2 linked regions of the Stegostoma tigrinum genome follow. The protein of the gene in region 2 purifies or fractionates together with the protein of the main gene of each other region. This does not show direct contact. Links are inferred from orthologs where the notes say so. Each region holds a gene or a part of one and is shown on either strand. Other genes may lie near its edges. The genes, in order: sirt6 and usp10.

Region 1 (10,216 bases), on a different chromosome or scaffold from region 2:
GAATTTATCAGTCCTACCTCATTCTCTACTTTGTTCCTCTCTGCCTTGTCTGTTTGACTTACTCCTTTTCATAACTGTTAGAGTCTCAGACTGATCTCTTTCCTCATTATCTCCGAGTCCCTCCCCATCACAACCAACTAGTTCAAATCCTCCCGAGCAGCTCTAGCAAATCTCCCTGCCAATCTCTCCTTCTAAATTAGGTGCAATCCATCCTTCTTAAACAGGTCACTGCTACCCCAAAAGACATTCCAATGATCCAAAAATGTGAATCCTTCTCCCCTTTACCAGCTCCTCAGCCACACATTCATCTGCTGTAACATCCTACTCCGAAACTCATTAGCTTGTGGCATCAAGTATAATCTAGAAATTACCAACCTCAAGGGCCTACTTTTTAAAATTCCTGCCTAACCTCCTATACTCTCTCCTCAAAATCTCATCCTTTTCTCTTCCTATGTCGTTAGTGTATAGTGACATCCAGCTAGTCCTGTTCCCATTGGAGAACGTTCTGTACCCTGTCCGAGATATCTTTGAACCTGGCTCCAGGGAGGCAACATACTATTTTGATGTCTTGCTGTTGGCCACCGAATCGTCTGTCTGTGCCTCTGACGAGACGTGTCCTGTTACAGTTGATCGTTTGGAACCTGGCATACCCCTTGTTACATTACAGCCAGTCACAGTACCAGAAACCTGGTTGTCAGTGCTACATTCCCTCGAAAGTCCATCACGGCTTACATTTTCCAAAACAGCATACTTGTTTGAGATAGTGCAGGAGCCTCCTGTGGCTATCCCTATCTCCTACCTCAGTTTTGTTAGGAAATTGTCAGTATGCTCATCAGATTCTGTCTCGGGCCTTAAATTCACACTGATAAATCCAATGTTTTGACTCCGGATAAAAATACATGCCAAATCTAAAAAAAATTGTGTTGGGGTTTCTGCTGTCATCCTCAATCTTCAACTATTAAACAATTTAACCTTTCTCTCCTGCCTGCAGGTTCCTTCATTTTTGCTAGTGCCTTTAGAGAGGTGCTGAATATCAGTCTGCACTTTCGTTCAAATTTCTCAGATGCATCTTCAAATGGGGCACATTTAATTGAAGTTTGAATGCCACCCATATCGTTGCTGTTACAGCCATTCCGTTTTCTGACAACAATTTAGTTTTTCCACACACTCTGGTACAAATGTAGGATGACTTCTTCTTCCAATTAATTCAGCACAAAATTCATTTAAAATATTTCAGTTTTCACTAACAAACAACCACTGCCACCATGTCATGCATTCCAGTGCCAGTAAATTAAAATAATCTCACTTTAGATCAGTACTAGTGTTTCACTGAGTGCATTTTTTGCTGCTCTCCATAGCGGACTGCGACCAATACATTGTTACTTTGCAATGTAACTGCAGTGCAGAAGTGAAATGTGACAGAGGAACAGGAGTAGATCAGTCAGTCAACTAAGACTGCTCTGCCAATCAACTCAATCATGACCAATTATCTACAGAGGTGTTACTTTTCCACACAATGCCAGTTTTCAGAAATCGATTTCTGCTTTAAACTGCTCAATGACTCTGGGGAAGAGAATTCCAAAGATCCAACATTGTCAGTGGAAAAAAAAGTGCTCCTCATCTCAATCTTATTTGGCCTGCCCCCTATTTGAGATAACATCCTCTGATTTTGGACTCATCAGGCAGAGGGAGCATCCTCTCTATAGCAACAATGCCGTGCCCTGTAATTTATTTTGTGAATTTGAAAGAAATCACCTCTCATCCCTTCAAACTCTAGGGACTAAAGATCCTGTTTCTGCAGGCTCTCTTCATAAAACAATCCCACCATTGCAACAATTAATCAGGTTAACCTCTATTGCACATCTAAGGAAGGATTTACTTTACGTAGAAAAGCCAAACAGAACTGTACACAATAACCAGGGTGTGTACATGCCAAGGCTCCATAAAATAGCAGGAAGACATTTTTACTATTGTTAATGTTTTGGGTCCAGTGGCCCTTCCTCAGACTGGACCCAAAACGATGACTCTCATTTTTCTTCACACATGCTGCTAGACTTGCTGAGCTTCCAACAACTTCTCTTTTTGTTCCTGATTTACAGCATCTGCAGTTCTTTTAGTTTTACTTTGCTTTTGTCCTTAAGTTTATTTGTTATGAAGACTAATATTCTATTTGCTTTTAAAATACTTGTTTCACCAGCATGCTAGCTCTTAGTAACCAAAGATACCTAGATCACTCCTTCCCAATCACATAATGATCATCCTGCCTTTCAGCTTTTCAATCAAACTCAATACTTTCATAAAGTTCTACTATATTCCATCTGGCATGTTCGCTTAGATTGTCGAAATTCCCTTGAAGGCTTCACACAACTTACATTTTCATTACATTCAGCATCATGAGCAAATTTGGAAACATTGAAACTGGTCCCCATATCCAAATAACAAAGTGTGGATGAACACAGCAGACCAAGCAGCACCTTAGGAGCTCAAAAGCTGACGTTTCGGGCCTAGACCCTTCATCAGAGAGGGGGATGGGGAGAGGGTTCTGAAATAAATAGGGAGGGGGGAGGAAGGCAGACTGAAGATGGATAGAGGAGAAGATAGGTGGAGAGGAGAGTATAGGTGGGGAGGGTATAGGTCAGTCCAGGAAGGACAGACAGGTCAAGGAGGTGGGATGAGATTGGTAGATGGGAAATGGAGGTGCGGCTTGAAGTGAGAGGAGGGGTAGGTGAGAGGAAGAACAGGTTAGGGAGGCGGGGAACGAGCTGGGCTGGTTTTGTGATGCAGTGGGGGGAGGGGACGAGCTGGGCTGGTTTCGGGATGCAGTCGGGGAGGGGGAGATTTTGAAGCTTGTGAAGTCAACATTGATACCATCCGGCTGCAGGGTTCCCAAGCGGAATATGAGTTGCTGTTCCTGCAAACTTCGGTTGGCATCATTGTGGCACTGCAGGAGCCCCATGATGGAAATTTTGTGTGAGGAATGGGAGGGGGAGTTAAAATGGTTTGCAACTGGGAGGTGCAGTTATTTATTGCGAACTGAGCGGAGGTGTTCTGCAAAGCGGTCCCCAAGACTCCGCTTGGTTTCCACAATGTAGAGGTAGCCACACCGGGTACAGTGGATACAGTATACCACGTTGGCAGTTGTGTAGGTGAACATCTGCTTAATATGCTTGGCCTGCTGTGTTCATCCAACTCCACACTTTGTTATCTTGGATTCTCCAGCACCTGTAGTTCCCATTATCTCTGCTTACTCTTCAGCCTTCTATTAAGCCATTTTCCATCCAAATTATTTTATTCCCACCCATCCCCAATACTACATACTCTAATTTCATTTGCTAATCTCTTGGTACTCCAGAATATATATCCATGTAACATAGATCGTTCTCTTTCAGATTAATAAAGCAATGAAACCAAACCCTTACAGGGACATCTGTGATGTCCACCATCACTAGCAACCTCCCTCTCCCAATCCACGGCCGCCTCCAACGTTAAGAGGGTCCCCACACAGTGGAATCTCCTCGGTCCTTTTCTCCTTCACCCCCTCCCGCATCCCCGCCTGCCCTCCCTCACTGATCTTCGCCTCCTCTTCCCGTTCCTCTGGGGGTCCCGGCCAAACAGTCTCTAACGAAGGCCCCAGTCCGGAGCTGGACGCCGAGGTCTCATGACCCCGGCGCCTCCCCAGGATGCGAGCCTATCCAAGGACAGGCCCGGAATCCTTTTCCCCCTGCAACGACATCTAAGCGGCACAGCCTCTTACCTCCGGAAGGCCACACTTGCCCTTGTGTTCGTACTCAGACAGTCCGGCCGCGTAGTTCACGGACATGGCTCCAGCACAACAACCCGGGCAGGGGCCTGCGTGACGTCACCAGGCCGTGCAGGCAGGACCTCCCGGAGGCCAGAGGGCGCTACAGAACAGGTGATAGGTAGCTTCGGGGGAGGAGAGGCGGGTGGGAGGCGCAGGTCGGAATGGGCATGGAGTAGGAGGGACCGGACAGAGAAACGGGGATGGTGCTGGGTGCGAGAGCGAGAGGAGAACAGTGCTGGGGGTGGGGTGACAGTGCTGGAGGGAAGCAATGCTGGGGAAGGTCATGAGGGGGAGCAATGCGCGTGTGCACAAGGCTGGGGGAGTGAAAAAGGCAGGGGGTGAACAAGGCTGGGGGGGGGGCAGGGGGTGAACGAGGCTGGGGGGGGGGCAGGGGGTGAACGAGGCTGGGGGGGGGGCAGGGGGTGAACGAGGCTGGGGGGGGGGCAGGGGGTGAACGAGGCTGGGGGGGGGGCAGGGGGTGAACGAGGCTGGGGGGGGGGCAGGGGGTGAACGAGGCTGGGGGGGGGGCAGGGGGTGAACGAGGCGGGGGGGGGCAGGGGGTGAACGAGGCGGGGGGGGGGGGGGGGGGGCAGGGGGTGAACGAGGCGGGGGGGGGGGGGGGGGGGGGCAGGGGGTGAACGAGGCGGGGGGGGGGGGGGGGGGGGCAGGGGGTGAACGAGGCGGGGGGGGCGGGGGGGGGGGGGCAGGGGGTGAACGAGGCGGGGGGGGGGGGGGGGGGGGGGCAGGGGGTGAACGAGGCGGGGGGGGGGGGGGGGGGCAGGGGGTGAACGAGGCGGGGGGGGGGGGGGGGGGCAGGGGGTGAACGAGGCGGGGGGGGGGGGGGGGGCAGGGGGTGAACGAGGCGGGGGGGGGGGGGGGGGGGGCAGGGGGTGAACGAGGCGGGGGGGGGGGGGGGGGGGCAGGGGGTGAACGAGGCGGGGGGGGGGGGGGGGGGGGCAGGGGGTGAACGAGGCGGGGGGGGGGGGGGGGGGGCAGGGGGGTGAACGAGGCGGGGGGGGGGGGGGGGCAGGGGGTGAACGAGGCGGGGGGGGGCAGGGGGTGAACGAGGCGGGGGGGGGGGGGGGGGCAGGGGGTGAACGAGGCGGGGGGGGGGGGGCAGGGGGTGAACGGGGCAGGGGGTGAACGAGGCGGGGGGGGGGGGCAGGGGGTGAACGAGGCGGGGGGGGGGCAGGGGGTGAACGAGGCGGGGGGGGGGGGGGCAGGGGGTGTGAACGAGGCGGGGGGGGGGGCAGGGGGTGAACGAGGCGGGGGGGGGGGGGCAGGGGGTGAACGAGGCGGGGGGGGGGGGGGGGGCAGGGGGTGAACGAGGCGGGGGGGGGGGGGGGGCAGGGGGTGAACGAGGCGGGGGGGGTGGGGGGGTGAACGAGGCGGGGGGGGGGGGGGGGGCAGGGGGTGAACGAGGCGGGGGGGGGGGGCAGGGGGTGAACGGGGCAGGGGGTGAACGAGGCGGGGGGGGGGGGCAGGGGGTGAACGAGGCGGGGGGGGGGGCAGGGGGTGAACGAGGCGGGGGGGGGGGGGGCAGGGGGTGAACGAGGCGGGGGGGGGGGCAGGGGGTGAACGAGGCGGGGGGGGGGGGGGCAGGGGGTGAACGAGGCGGGGGGGGGGGGGGGGGGCAGGGGGTGAACGAGGCGGGGGGGGGGGGGGGGGCAGGGGGTGAACGAGGCGGGGGGGGGGGGGCAGGGGGTGAACGAGGCTGGGGGGGGGGGCAGGGGGTGAACGAGGCTGGGGGTCAACAGTGCTGGGGAAGCGGGGGTGCAACGGAACTGAGGGGAGCAATGCTGGGGAGGGTCGAGGAGGGGAACAATGCTGAGGAAGGTCGGTGGAGGCCAATGCTGTGGAAGATTGGGTGGGGTGAACGAGGCTGGGGGGGGGGGGCAGGGGGTGAACGAGGCTGGGGGGTGAACGAGGCTGGGGGGGGGGGGCAGGGGGTGAACGAGGCTGGGGGGGGGGGCAGGGGGTGAACGAGGCTGGGGGGGGGGCAGGGGGTGAACGAGGCTGGGGGGCGGGGCAGGGCAGGGGGTGAACGAGGCTGGGGGGGGGGCAGGGGGTGAACGAGGCTGGGGGGGGGGGCAGGGGGTGAACGAGGCTGGGGGGGGGGGCAGGGGGTGAACGAGGCTGGGGGGGGGGGCAGGGGGTGAACGAGGCTGGGGGTCAACAGTGCTGGGGAAGCGGGGGTGCAACGGAACTGAGGGGAGCAATGCTGGGGAGGGTCGAGGAGGGGAACAATGCTGAGGAAGGTCGGTGGAGGCCAATGCTGTGGAAGATTGGGTGGGGGGCATAATGCTACGGAAGGTGGGGTTGGAACAATGCTTGGGAAGGTCCATGTTGGGGGATCAATGCTGGGGAAGGTCCGTGTTGGGGGAACAATGCTGGGGAAGGTCGGGTGGAGGGGTAACAATGCTGGGGAAGGTCCGTGTTGGGGGAACAATGCTGGGGAAGGTCGGGTGGAGGGGTAACAATGCTGGGGAAGGTCCGTGTTGGGGGAACAATGCTGGGGAAGGTCGGGTGGAGGGGGAACAATGCTGGGGAAGGTCGGGTGGAGGGGGAACAATGCTGGGGAAGGTCCTTGGTGGGGGAACAATGCTGAGGAAGGTTGGGTGGGGGGGTAACAATGCTGGGGAAGATCCATGGTGGGGAAACAATGCTGGGGAAGGTCCTTGGTGGGGGAACAATGCTGAGGAAGGTTGGGTAGGGTAACAGTGCTGGGGAAGGTCGGGTGGTGGGTAATCATGCTGGGGAAGGTTCATGTTGCGCGAACAATGCCGGGGAAGATTGGATGGTGGGGAAACAATGCTGGGGAAGATTCATGGTGGCGGAACAATGCTGGGGAAGGTCGGGGAACAATGCTGGGGAAGATCCGTGGCAGAGGAACAATGTTGGGGAAGGTCGGGTTGGGGGTAACAAATGCTAGAGAAGGTCGAGGGGGGCAGAACTGGATCATGCTGGTGAATATCGAGGGAGGGGGAAGATGCAGTGTGGGGGAATATTGGGGAGGGAGGTGTAATGCAGGGGAGAGTCATGGGAGCACAGTGCAGAGAACGGTTGGGGGAGGGGGGTTGCAATGCTGGGGAGGTCGGTGTGGGGAGCTCAGTGAGGGGAAGGGTCAGGGACGGGGGGTGCAGTGTGGGCAGGGTTAGGGGACGGTTGGGGGAGGGGCGTTGCAATGCTGGGGAGGGTCGGAGTTGGGGGCGTACAATGCCGGGGAGGGTCTGAGGAAGGGGATGCTGAGTAAGGAGACGGGAAGCTGGGGAAAGTGGAGGTGGGAATAGAGAGGAAATGGGTCTGAGGGCAGGGGAATGGAGAGAAAGTGGAAGGGCTGTGGTGAGAGGTCTGGGGAGGCCTGGAGGGAGGCTGACGAGGGAGAATGGACAGAGAGTGCGATGTAGGGGATGAACTGGCAGGGAATGGTCTGAGGGGAGCTGAGGAGAGGGGCAGAATGCAAGGAGACATTCAGATCATCACCTCTGAATTAATTAACCCCACTCCTCTTCATTAAATTGAAGCTCCTTATTCCTGGTACCATTCTCTTAAATCCCTCCTGTAACCTCTCCTCGGACTTGGCACCTGTCATAAAGTGTGTTGACTGGAATTTATAACATGCTCGAAACACACAGGAGTGTGGATGAATCTGCGTTTAAAAATTCCAAGTTGCTGTGAGAAAGGAGTTTGGGAGGTGACGGACAATGTGTGGAGGGGGAGATCTCTATAGGTCAGGTAATTGGGGAGAGGTCGGCAGAGACAATGGGGATAGATGCAGTAGTCCAAAGGGGCTGGAAAGAGCTGAGGAGCCTGCAGGCTGAAAGTGAGATGGGAGGGAGAAGCTATAGTGTGAGAAGTGCTTAGGACAAAGATGCTGCCAGGAGTGTGGATGGTTGGTGGAGGGTGAGAAATGGAAATTAATTGGGATGCAAGAGGAAGAGAGGAGCTGGAGAAGTAGGCAGGCAAGAATGAGTGAGTCTGAAAGGGTAAAAACAGAGAGAGAGAGACTGCAAAGAAGAACAGTTTCAAACTTGTCAACAAAGGAACAGACAGCTAACTGGGAGCCCGGGAAATTTGAAATCACTGAGGTAATGAATGATTTGCAAATGAATGAAGTGTCCACGACAAGGCTGGATATGTACAGGAGTTACTGTCTGAAAAAGATTGTCAAGGACTGTATTGTAGTGAACACCATGTCAATTATTAAATTTAAATCTGTGATACTGAAACTGCTTGGTTGAAATATTCCAGTTTTGCGAGCTTGTGATGGAAACTCATTGTGTGACCTCTCCAGTCTCCAGAATGTGTTTGTTAGGTTAATGGCTTCTTGCCTATAGAACTGTGTCACTTATTTTGAAAAACTTCAACTAAATTTGTGTTGTCTTTTGTTATTTAAATACTGCAGTGTCTAATAAATTAATGTTTCCCTATGTGTTGTGTCTTTAAGTTTAGTGAAGGTGATAGTAATGTCAGAAGGCTAAGTTGAGGTTAACTGAGGAATGTCTGTGTGATTGCCCACTGATTCTCCAAGTGACAGTCCGTGGGAGGAGCTAACAGAGACGGAGAATTGTATAGCACAGAAACAGACCCTTTTCAGTTTAAATCTTCCAGATATCTGATCAGATATCTTAATCTAGTCCCATTTGGCTGAAAGCAAAGTACTGTGTTATGTTGGAGATATGAAATAAAAATAGAAAGTACTGGAGCTTCACAGCAGGTATCATCATTTATGCGGAGAGAAAGTTAGGGTTAGACTTTTGTCAACGTTAACTTTGGGCTGAATCTTTCCATATGTTGACTGTCATTTTCAATGACTTTCATGGAGCATTTCTCTCCATTGCGTCGACTGAAATTTCCCATGCACGTGTCCCAAGTATGACGCGTTATTTGCCTAACCCTAACCAAGCCCCTAAGCTGCTGCTATTGTCCAATAGTAGCCTGCCTTTCTCACTTGATGTTGCTGGAAGAACTCACTGATACCAGAATTCCCTGGCATCTCTGGCACCAGTGCCTATTTGAAAGGCTGTTGTGAACCCAATCAAACTTTGGCAGTTCAGAGCTGCCCTGCATGGTTGAAGACCATGTACATGCTCTGTACTTGGCAGTCAAGGGGAAACTAGCACCCTGCTTTGTAGACAGAAACCTGGAAGTCCCAATGGACAATGAGGATTAGATTATATTCCCTACAGTGTGGAAACGTGCCCTTTGGCCCAACAAGTCCACACTGCCTCTTGGGGCATCCCACCCAGACCCATCCTCCTATAACCCACACACCCATGAACACTACAGGCAATTTAGCACGGCCAATCCACCTAGCCTGCACATCTTTGGACTGTGGGAGGAAACTGGAGCACCCTGAGAAAACCCACGCAGACACGGGGAGAATGTGCAAACTCCGCACAGACAGTTACCCGAGTCTGGAATTGAACCCAGGTCCCTGGCGCTGTGAGGCTGCAGTGCTAGCCACTGATCCACCGTGCCGCCAAATGTGGTGCAGAGGTTGGATTTCCTGTTCACCCAGGACCAGCAGAAGAGGCCATGACACCAGACCTTGCCAGCCTGGTTCAAGGTTGCCACCTAGGTCAGTGCAATGTTTACAGTCCAGCAATGCAGCAAGAAGGTCAATCAACTCTTCAGAGGAGCCAGGATAATTGCCCCCATCTGCTCTGTGTGACCTTTCACAATCTTTCTGTGACTGCACTGAGCTCCCAGCAAGGCTCATGCTCCACCATTCTCACTATTCCCTGCAGCATCTTTGCTCACACACTCTCCCCTCCCTTCTCCCAACCTCGAGCGTCACTGAAATAAAACAAAGACCTGCAGATGCTGGAAATCAGCAACATTAACAGAAAATGCAGGAAAAACTCAGCAGGTCTGGCAGCATCTGTAGAGACTGAAGCAGGGTTAGGCTTTCTCTCCCCAGATGCAGCCAGGCCTGCAGAATTTCTCTCACCAGTTCTGTTCTCTCTGCAACATCTCTCATGGCCTATGCACTTCCAACTCACTCAGTCCAGTCACCTCACCACCTTTTTCTCACCTACACCAGTGCTAACTGTCGTGCAAACCACTTTCATCTCACTCAATCCCTCTCTACTCTCATTCCAGGATAAAACATCGAAGATGGGTGGTGCTATATTATTCGTCAACCCACCCCTGCAAGGACAGGATCTTGACTCTTGCAGGCAAAGACTGGGGTTGTTCCTCTGGAGATGCCAAAACCTCTATATCCTGGTCACCAAGTCGGCAGCATTCATTGTGCTACTGCCTCATGTCCCCCACAATGAATTATTGTTAACTTGCTGTAACTTCTACCCTTTGGTCATAACACTTTCTCTTGTTTGCTTCCTGCAGATGCTGGTGGGATGGTCATGGTCATGAGAGCCTGCAGTGCAGCCCTCCCCACTTCTGAGGAAG
Region 2 (10,229 bases):
CTTGGGCGGAGTGGATTGCTTGGGGTGACTTGCTGACAAGGTGCTTTAGTCTCCTTTGTAACTCTTTGGCTAGTCTATGTGACGGCATGCCTGGCAGGAAGACTATTAGTCTGAGGGGTACTTCCGGTTTGTATGCCCTTGGGAGGCCGTAGAATCGGGGAGTGTTAGTTCCCTCAGGTTTCATTCTTAGATGGCTTTTACATTGCGATAAGAATGGGGGAAAAAATGAGGAACGACGTTGCAGACTGTCAAGAAAAAATAAATATGTAGTTTAATGGTGATGATACATTTGTGGACTTTAAAGAGGAAGGGGAAGTTGGAGGTGAGGATTGTCAAAGGAGATGGAAAGGTTCACAATTGGCTGCTTTAAGAAAAGAAGTGCAGTGTATGTTTAGTCTGAAAGTGGTGACAAGTTAAAACAAGCACTTCCCAAAAAATAGGATTCAGGCCTAGTAATATGTATTTGCCTTTTGTTAATACTTTTCAAATCCTCTGGAAATGTCAACTGCTTAACAACCTACATATTACTCTTATTTTGCATTCCCTGTCAGATTGGAATCTGATTGGATTGTAAGTAAGGTTTAATCATGCAGTAACTGTGATCACATAACATAACAGCTATTGGCATGAGTTTGGCCTAAAGTGTGAAAATGTTATTAAATTGATCGTTATAAAGTTTGGACCTAGTTTGGCTGAGCATTTTCCCTGTCTTTTATGGTCAGCTGCTGTTATGTGAGTAGCTCCAAGAAAGTGAAAGCCAGCCATAAATAGAGGGTATCCTGGCTCAAACCACAAATGAGAGTTGTGAACCCTGCAGTCTTTCTTTCCAGGTTACTAGCAGCAATATTTGAGAGATTAACCTTGGTGCATTCATGACCTATCTTTGGGAAAGCATCTAGGACCAGAGGACATAATGTCAGAGTAAGGAGTTCCCCAGTTAGGAAACAAAGACAGAACTTCTATCGATGGGTAGTGGATGTCTAGAATTCTTTTTCGCAGAGGGCAATTGAGGCTAAGTATATTCAATGCTGTCATTGTGGATACAAAATCCTACTTTCACTTTGAGAATAACTACCATTGTGTTGTGTGGCACTATCACTGTGCTAAATGGGACAGATTTTGCACAGATGTAGAGCAACTCAAGACTGGGCATCCATGAGGCACTGTGGGCCATCAACAGCGGCAGAACTGTACCGCATCAAAATTTGTAACCTCATGGCATGGCATATGTCCCATTCAACCATTACCATCAAGCCAGGGGATCAACCCTGAGTCAACAGAGAGTCAAGGACGGTATACCAGGAGCAGAACCAGGCGTACCTAAAGATGAAATGTAAACCTGGGGAAGCCAACAGACAGGACTACTTGCATGCCAAACAGCATAAGCATCAAATGATAGACAGCGCTAAGTGATTCCACAGCTAATGGATTATATCTAAGCTCTGTAATCCTACAACTGTGAATAGCGGTAGAGAATTAAATAACTCACTAGAGGAGTTGACTCCACAAGTATCCCCATCCTCATTGGTGGAAGAGCACAGCACATCAGTGCAAAACATAAGGCTGAAGCTTTCACAGCAATCTTAAGCCAGAAGTGCCGAGTGGATGATCTCTGTCAGCCTCCTCCAGTGGTCCCCAGCATTTCAGACGTCAGGCTTTAGCCAATTCGATTGACTCCACCTGATAGTCAAGAAATGGTTGGAGACACTGGATACTGTAAAGGTTTACAAGCCCTGAAAACATTCCAGCAATAGTACTGAAGACTTGTGCTCTAGAGCTTGCCGCTCCCCTAGCCAAGTTGTTGCAATACAGTTACAACACAGGTATCTACCCGACAATGTGGAAAATTGCCCAAGTGCATCCTGTGCATAAAAAGCAGGACAAATCCAACCCTACCAGTTACTGCGCCATCAGTCTCCTCTCAATCATCAGTAAAGTGATGGATGGTGTCATCAACAGTGCTAGCAAGTAGCACCTGCTCAGCTATAATCTTTCCAGTTTGGGTTTGGCCAGGGCCACTCAGCTCCTGACCTTGTTACAGCTTTGGTTCAAACATGGAAAGAAGCACTGAATTCCAGAGATGAGGAGAGTTTTAAAGCCCTTGACATCAAGGTTGTATTTGATCAAGTGTGGCATCAAGGACCCCTAGCAAAACTGGAATCACTGGGAATTTAGGCCAAACTCTCCACTTGTTAGAGTTATACCTGACACATAGTAAGATAGTCATGGTCGTTGAGGTCAGTCATCTCAGTACCAGGACATCTCTGCAAGAGTTCCTCAGGGTAGTGTCCTAGGCCCAACCATCTTCAGCTGCTTCATCAATGACCTTGTCTCTATCATAATGTCAGAAGTGGGGATTTTTGCTGATGATTGCACAGTTCAGCACCATTTCAGACTCCTCAGATACTGAAGCAGTCCATGTTCACATGCAACAAGATCTTGACAATATCCAGGTTTGAGCTGACAAGTGGCAAGTAACATTCGTGCCACAAAAATGCCAGTCTATGGGCTTCACCAATAAGAGACAATCTGTTCACCTCCTTTGACATTCAGTGTGTTACCGTTACTGAATTCCCCATGTCACATCCTGGGGGTTATCATTGACCAGAAACTCAACTGGACTCACCATGTGAATACAGTGGCTACAAGAACAGGTCAGAGGCTTGGAATACTGTGACAATGTACACACCTCCTCATTCCCCCAAACCCTGTCACTATCTAAAGGCACAAGTCAGGAGTATGATGGTAAATGCCCCACTTGCCTGGATGATTGCAGCCCCAACAATACACAAGGAGCTTGACATCATCCAGGACAAGGCAGCCTGCTTAATTAGCACTATATCCGCAAGCTTACAGTTCCTCTACCATTGACACTCAATAGCAGAAGTGTGTACTATTTACAGAAACTCACCACATAGCGTCAGGTACACACGTTCTAAACCCATGACCATTTCCATCTAGAAGGACAAGAGCAGCAGATATATCAGAACCACCACCTTTAATTTCCTCACTAAACCACTCACCACTCTGACCTGGAAATATATCGCTGTTCCTTAACTTTTGATGGAATTCCCTCCCTAATGACATTATGTCAACCCACAGTGGTTGGATGGCAGCTCACCACCACCTTTTTAAGAGCAACTATCTCTGTAGTAGTTGATAGGTTATTTTAGGTTGGGGAAAGATTTGTAGAAAAAGGTCTCCTGCGTCAGGGTCGGGATCCATGCTGAAATAAATTATTGATCTAGACCCCACTGTGCAGAGGTAGATAGATTTTGCAGAGCACAATTCCAAAACAAATTACACAAAACTTGGAAATATTGTAAACTATGAAGAAGATGGAGTAGAACTTCAAAAGGAAATAAATAGTGGATTGGGCAGACAGGTGGCACATGAAGCTCAATGAAAAGAAGCACAAAGTGTCTCAGTTTGACAGGAAAAAAATGGAGATGATATGATATAAAAAGGTACCATCCTAAAAGGGTGCATGTGTAGTTGATATGATTGAAGGTGGCAGGATAGTACTAAAGAATGATTAATATATCTATGAAGTATCATAGACTTTATTAGCATGGTCATAGAGTGTGAGAGCAAGGAGTACATTCAATTATTTGAACAAGCCATAGGCCCCTCAAGCATGCTTTGCCATTTAATACCTGATTTGATATTAATTTTTATACACAAATGTAAAGCACTGATTTGGCCTTAACTGTCCAGTTCTGGATTCTACACGTCGGCCAAAAACAAAGGCATTTGAGATTGTGCAGAAAAATAATTCATAAGGTTGGTTTCAGCAACTTTAAGTTCCGAAGCAGATTGGAGATGCCCCGTCAGTTTTTCTTGGAGAAAGGAAGCCTAAGAGTAGTTTTTTTTTTGGATTAATTTGTGGGACGTGGGCATCACTGTCTGGCCAGCATTTATTGCCTGCTCTTCTGATGCTGCTTGGCCTGCTGTGTTCATCTAGCTCTACACCTTGTTTTCTCTATCAATTACTACTCTTGGTTTCGTGTCAGTCAGCCAATTTTGTACCTGTGTTTTAGTATCCATTTATTCAATGGGCTATGACCTTGTCCACAAGTCTATTGTGCAGCATTTTATCAAAGACTTTTAGCATGTCACTCATTAACTCTGTCTGTCATCTCTTCAAAGAATACAGCAAATTTATTGAACACATTCAGTGAACAATTCTGTCCGAGATTCCTTCATTACTCACATTTGTCCAAATTATTGGTTATTTTGATAGCATGACAGATTCGTGCTATCAAGTGGTAATGTTGTGGAGGTGCAGTTTTTCTGAAAAGACATCAAATTAAGGCTCTCAGATAACATGGTGTAGAGCTGGATGAACACAGCAGGCCAAACAGCATCAGCGGAGCAGGAAGGCTGATGTTTCAGGCCTTGACTGTTCTTCAGAAAACGTCTGCTTGCATGGTTGTATGTAAAGGTCCCGGAAGCAGTATTTCAAACTGAAGTATCTTAGAATAAAAGATTCTGAAGAAGAGTCAGTTCAGATTTGAAGCAGTAACCCTGTCTCTACAGACGCCGTCAGACCTGCTGTTTCTTGCACGTTTCAGTGGCGATATATATTCTAATGACCCAGTTCAGGGATGTTATTACACACATGTGGTGCAGGAGGATTTGAACTCAGGGCTACTGGACCAGAGGTATGATATGAAGGTGCTAGTGTTGGACTGGGGTGGACAAGGCCAGAAGTCACATGACACCAGGTTACAGTCCAAGTTTATTTGAAATCACTAACTTTCAGAGCAAAACCCCTCAGGTGAACTAAAGACTTCTGATTTGGACCACAGGTACGAATGCTACTACTGTGTCCCAACAGCCCTTCTTATGTTTCAGCATAAATATTCATTCCTGAAACAACATCACAAAATATATATTCGCGAGTTATTATCTCGCTGTTAGTTTTGAGGTTGATGAGCACAAATTGGTTTGTCACTTTCACTAAATTGGAACCCTGGCCGACACCTGAAAACTCATGAGTTTCAAAATGACCTGAAAACAATCCGTCCTGAACTAAAATCGAATTATTGCACACCTCAACGAAGATCAGAAGCAAAATCCAAAATAAAACTAGACACCACTTGAAAATTGAATTGCTCTTTTAAACAGAAAACTATTAGGCGGCATTTCCTCCACCCTTGTTGCAAGCTGACCAATAGGCACGGAGAAAAGATCAAGTGGGGTTGGTTATAGCCAATCGTTGAGCAAGGGGTTCGCCGGCCGCGCGCGATTTGTCCAATCAGGAGGCCACTATTCGCCTGACTGGTAAGCCATTGGCTGGACGGCGGCATCCGCGAGCGGACCAACAGGACGGCGAATACGAAGCTAGTAGACCAATAGGAGAGCGTGAAGGTGGCAGACCAATGGAAGAATATCGTTGCTGCCGACGGACCAATGGAGAAGGAGACGCGGGTCATAGGGACGAATGGGGGAAAGCTGAACAGTCAGACCAATAGGAGAGCGCAGAGGTGTTGGACCAATGGGAGGGCAACGGTTGGGGGCGGGTGTCTCGGGGAGGTGCCAGGGACACGGGCGCGCAGGCGCACGGCCTCTGGCGGAGCAGACAACATGGCGGCAAACGGGGAAGCATGAGTTATCTCATTCAAAAGCAGCAAAATGGCTAGCAACAATATAAAGGTGAGGAAAGTCGGGGATGGCAGGGCAGCGGCGGACGAGCATCGGGGACTGGGCGGAGAATGAAGCGACCTTGCGGTTGAGGGGGATTTAAGATGAGAGATTTCGTTCCCTGTCGAGGATGAGGCGGTGGTAGCGCGGGGGGAGGGTGGGGGGAGGCGGAGAAGGCAAGAGAATCCATGAGGTTTAGGCCCCAGGGTATTTTCCTCAGCCTGACTACTTGCGGTCGCAGAGTTTTAGCCCAGGGCCCCACACGATGCTATCAGGTTGTCGACTACCCGAAGGATATATCTCGTTAATGAGACACGCCCGCCCTGGTGCCTCACGTTTCGCTTTGCCTGGATCTGAAATGCGCCGCGGCCCTGTTACAGGCCATCTTCCATAGTTCGGCTGCATTCCAAATTGTTCGGTTCAGCAAGAAAACATTAAAAGAGATGAGCGGTGGGGGAGGGGCGCATGATGATTCATTCCACCTTGGACTCTGTGTCCCCTGCAGTTAACCTGGAAGGGATTCTCTTGGACGGCAGGGTATATCCTTGAGTTTTATCACAGCAAATTGGGTGGAAAAATGCTTCAAGATCCACTTGTGAACATGTACTTTTATCAGTCGGGAATGGTGGAAGTGGATTCTGACCATTTTATTTTGGGGGTGGGGGTGCCCCTGTTTTGCACGTGTTCTGAACGAAATCCCTTGGTTTCTGCCTATGCTACAGTATACACATCACACCTTAGATTTTAGTCTCACTAATTATATAGTTCAACCTGTATGCCTGATCAAACTTGTGGCACACTTTAACATCTAGAAAGTTTTGTAACGGCGTTGAGTGGGATTTGAACAGTTCATCTTGGTTTATTCAAATAAATCACACGTGTGGATAAGCTGCCAATTATGTTGTAATGTTTAACATAAAATCTGACGAGCATTTTCTTTCTTTGTATGTCATTATTAGAACAATGAGTCTACAAATTTAACTTAAATTTTAAAAAGCCCTTAAATTCAGAATTGTCAGCTGAATTACCAAAATCATGAGTGCAGAAACAATTTACTGAACATATTAAATGTTGCAAACATAGATTTTGGTGTTTTGCTTTCAACTGTACTTTTAAAAGTTGCTTGCTTTATGAAGCTTTTTGGTATTTGAACTTTTTAGCTGCTTGCACTTTGGACTGCTTTCTGGCTGTTAAATTTTAAGTTTTAGTTATTCGTACAGAACATTTCAAAAAAATTTAGTCGGGTGAGCTGGGTAGTTGTCGGGAGCTGATACATATTGGATCAAATAACCTCCCTCTGTACAATAAATTTCTGTAATTCTAAAAAAGTCATGCTGAATTTTTGGAGAAAATTTAGAACTGAAATTCATCAGTGCGAATATGCATACTGTTTGATCTTTTGCTGTGCCATTTGGTCATTCCAATTCTCTGTATACACCAAGATTTTGCTCTGGGCTAATATCTTTGTGCGTTCGGCCACATGGTGTAAAGGGGTGACCAAAAGCCAATGAGACCAACACACAGGAGGGGTGGGGGGATAAAAAGCCACAATCTGACACAGCTGACTTCACCCATCTGTAGGTGAAGAAAGGAGGGTGCTGGTAAACCCAAACATGAGAATGGGGTGTTGTCGAGCCTATGGCTTCACAAGAGCGTGCCCAAGTCAAGGAAGAATATCTGCAGGCAAAGACATTATTGCATCAAACAGTATGGACCACCACCTTAAATAGCTGCCATGGATAGTTCGATCAGTATGACAGCTCATTCTGCCAGGAACTGCACGGTTTTGAATTGGTCTTGATAGATTAATTTATAATGTCTGCTTTATGAACAAATCCATTGGTTGAAAAGGACTCTATTTTGGCTCTTGTTTGAATTTAAAGCACTTACAAATAGTTCAACACAAATAAATAAATTCTAACCAGTCTGGATTTTTAGCTGTAAGGGGACGGGCTGAAATGAGAGAGCTGATAATTATTAGCCTGAAGATCTCACTAATCATTCCCACTACTTATTAATTTCAGTTGTTAGTTATGATTGAACTTACGCATGCAAAATTAATAGTTGAAGATTGGACGTGTCTGTTTGGAGTTTCATCTCTAATATGGTATCAATGATTTTTTGCAATTTTAAAAATACTTTTTTCCAAATATTATTTATTAAAAGTTATTTTCAATTTTAAATGAATTTACTTCATCCAGTTTTGTTTTCATGCAGAAACTGCAGTGCCCAATGAAAATTGACAATCCATAGAAGGGGGACTTTCAAAATCACCTGTACAACACCTAAATATTGCATTTATGCAGCACCTAAAGTGCCATGAGAAATTTCTGCTTACGTTTGTCTTACATAGATTTGTCTTAGATCATTATTGAAAATTATTGCTGTTGCAGCAAACAGTTGTACTTGCAGGCTACATTGTTCAAAACTGAAATTAATTGTAAGGTCTAATTTTGAATATGTATGGCTTTTTTAACGAAAAACTATTTTTATGACACATGCTTTCTAGATTGTTGCCACTGTTTTTGGTTTCTTACTATTTTAACAATCAGCAGATAAATTGACATTACAGATCTACCCTAGATTATAGTATTTGGTACAGATGAAATGACAGTCCCTCCAATTTAAAACTTCTGGCGCAAATGTATATAGGAAGCATATGTATAAACGTGAAGCTGACGACAATTCTGGTATCCAAATGCACAGTTAGTGTGATTATCCAGCAGTTTTTGTCACTGATTCCCTGCTCTTCTATTCTGGCAGATTGCAATTTTTAGAAGCCAGTTGAACAGATATAAAGTTTCTTTTCTGTGCAGTAATATTGTTATTTTTAAAAATCATTCAGTGAAATATGCTTGAGTTTTTAACAGATGACCAAGTCATCATTACTTCTGGATACCTCCTTTCATCCTTGAAAAAACCAAGCTTGTTTGTGAAAGGTCAAATTTCTACATGATAAGTATTGGTTTTGAGTGTTTTAAATCTGCCTTAACTTCTTGCTGACTCTGCATACATCAACGTACTCATTCTGTATGTACCAATCACATATAACATTCTTCAATATGACTGGCTGATTAGTTTGACATCACAGTTGCTAAACTTGCAACCTCTTAGAGTTGGCCCCAGAATGACAGTGACTCCACACAAGGGAGTCACTGCTTCAAGGATAGCGATGGCAGCTGTCATTTCAGCACTGCTTGTTAACTCTGGCTGTAGAATCAGACAGAAGTAGCTACTTGACCTAATTGTCTGAGCGAGCTTCTTGGTAGAATTCTAAAAGTATTTAACCAATTCCCTTTGAAAATTTCAATTTCTACCACCCTGTCTGACTCACAAATAACCTGATATATCATGTAATTGTAAATCTCAGTGCCCTGTTTAGTCACTCTTCTGCCAATGGAATACTTATCCTTTATTTGTAATTAAAAACTGTTAAATGATTTTAAAAACCTGTATCAGATTGCCCCTTAGCCTCCTCTGACGACAAATTGTCTTTTCATGTAACTGAAGATTTTTAAAGTTTCCCCTTTCCTCGCACCCTCCACACAAAATATTTAATCATTTTAGTAAATCTTGTTTTCACACTTTGAGATGACATTCTTTCTGAAGTATCATCCGTAATGAATTATTATGAATGTTTAGTACAGCCTTACCTGTGTGCTCTTCCTCAATTGATAATACCAGCGAGCTCATGCATTTTTAACACTTTATGAACTTATTTTCACTTATACACCTGTCCCTGTGTCTCACCCTTTTTGCAACCTTAAGTTGGTTAATGTAATATATTGATTGTGTTCATTCTTCCTAATGAATTGTATTATTTCACACTTCTCTGCTAAATTCTGTTTGATGTACATCCATCTAATTCACCAGTCTGTTTTCCTGAAATCTGTTTCTAACCTCCTCATATACTGTTTCATTCCATCATTGAACCACTTTGAAATGCAGTCCATTTAATTCCAGAACATTGCTTTTGTTTCAGTTGAGCAGCGGCCCTAAAACCGAACTGTAGCAAGCACCACTGTATGCATTCCTGTAGTCTGGAAAATGATTGTTTATTGCTAGTCCATATCGTCCCCTAGCCAATTTTGTATTCAGAATACCACTGTCCTATTAATACCAGATAATTCAATATTGCTTACAAGTTTATATACAGTAATTTGTGAACAACTACACACTCTGTTGCAAGATCTTGCTTCATGTTGTGCTTCGGGACATCGTTATCAACTTCTGTCAAACTTTCCTGTTCAATTTTGTAATTTTAAGTATCTCACTCAACTTTTAGGTTCTGACCAAGTGGTGTTATTCGAGTGCAGTTGAAGGTTTCTAATTCTTTCCATTACCAATGTATTACTTTCCTCCAAAGTGACTTGTAGCAGTGCCATGAGCAGTTTAATAGTTTAAAAGAAGTTAAGGATAGTATGCACCTACAACACTTGCCATAATTTCTGTAATGCCAACATTTGTGGATACCTGTATGATAAAGCAGCCTGTCCTGTGACATGTAAGCGTCATGAGGAGTGTGGTGTCTGTGTATATATGTCTACCTGTGTAGTCATGCTACCTATTAGTATCCTGTGAAC

What was found.
Region 1: the proteins of usp10 (region 2) and sirt6 purify together in Homo sapiens (affinity purification with western blotting; 4 studies listed by BioGRID, with this or other methods). This does not show direct contact. The link is inferred for Stegostoma tigrinum from reciprocal best matches to the Homo sapiens genes USP10 and SIRT6.

What each region holds. Positions count from the first base shown.
Region 1 is NC_081383.1:37,837,658-37,847,873, forward strand, and holds the start of sirt6 (NAD-dependent protein deacetylase sirtuin-6), read right to left. Parts: upstream 3,878-10,216; 5' UTR 3,821-3,877; coding exon 3,755-3,820; intron 1-3,754. UniProt on the Homo sapiens protein: NAD-dependent protein deacetylase, deacylase and mono-ADP-ribosyltransferase that plays an essential role in DNA damage repair, telomere maintenance, metabolic homeostasis, inflammation, tumorigenesis and aging.
Region 2 is NC_081369.1:49,063,950-49,074,178, forward strand, and holds the start of usp10 (ubiquitin carboxyl-terminal hydrolase 10), read left to right. Parts: upstream 1-5,546; 5' UTR 5,547-5,637; coding exon 5,638-5,658; intron 5,659-10,229. UniProt on the Homo sapiens protein: Hydrolase that can remove conjugated ubiquitin from target proteins such as p53/TP53, RPS2/us5, RPS3/us3, RPS10/eS10, BECN1, SNX3 and CFTR.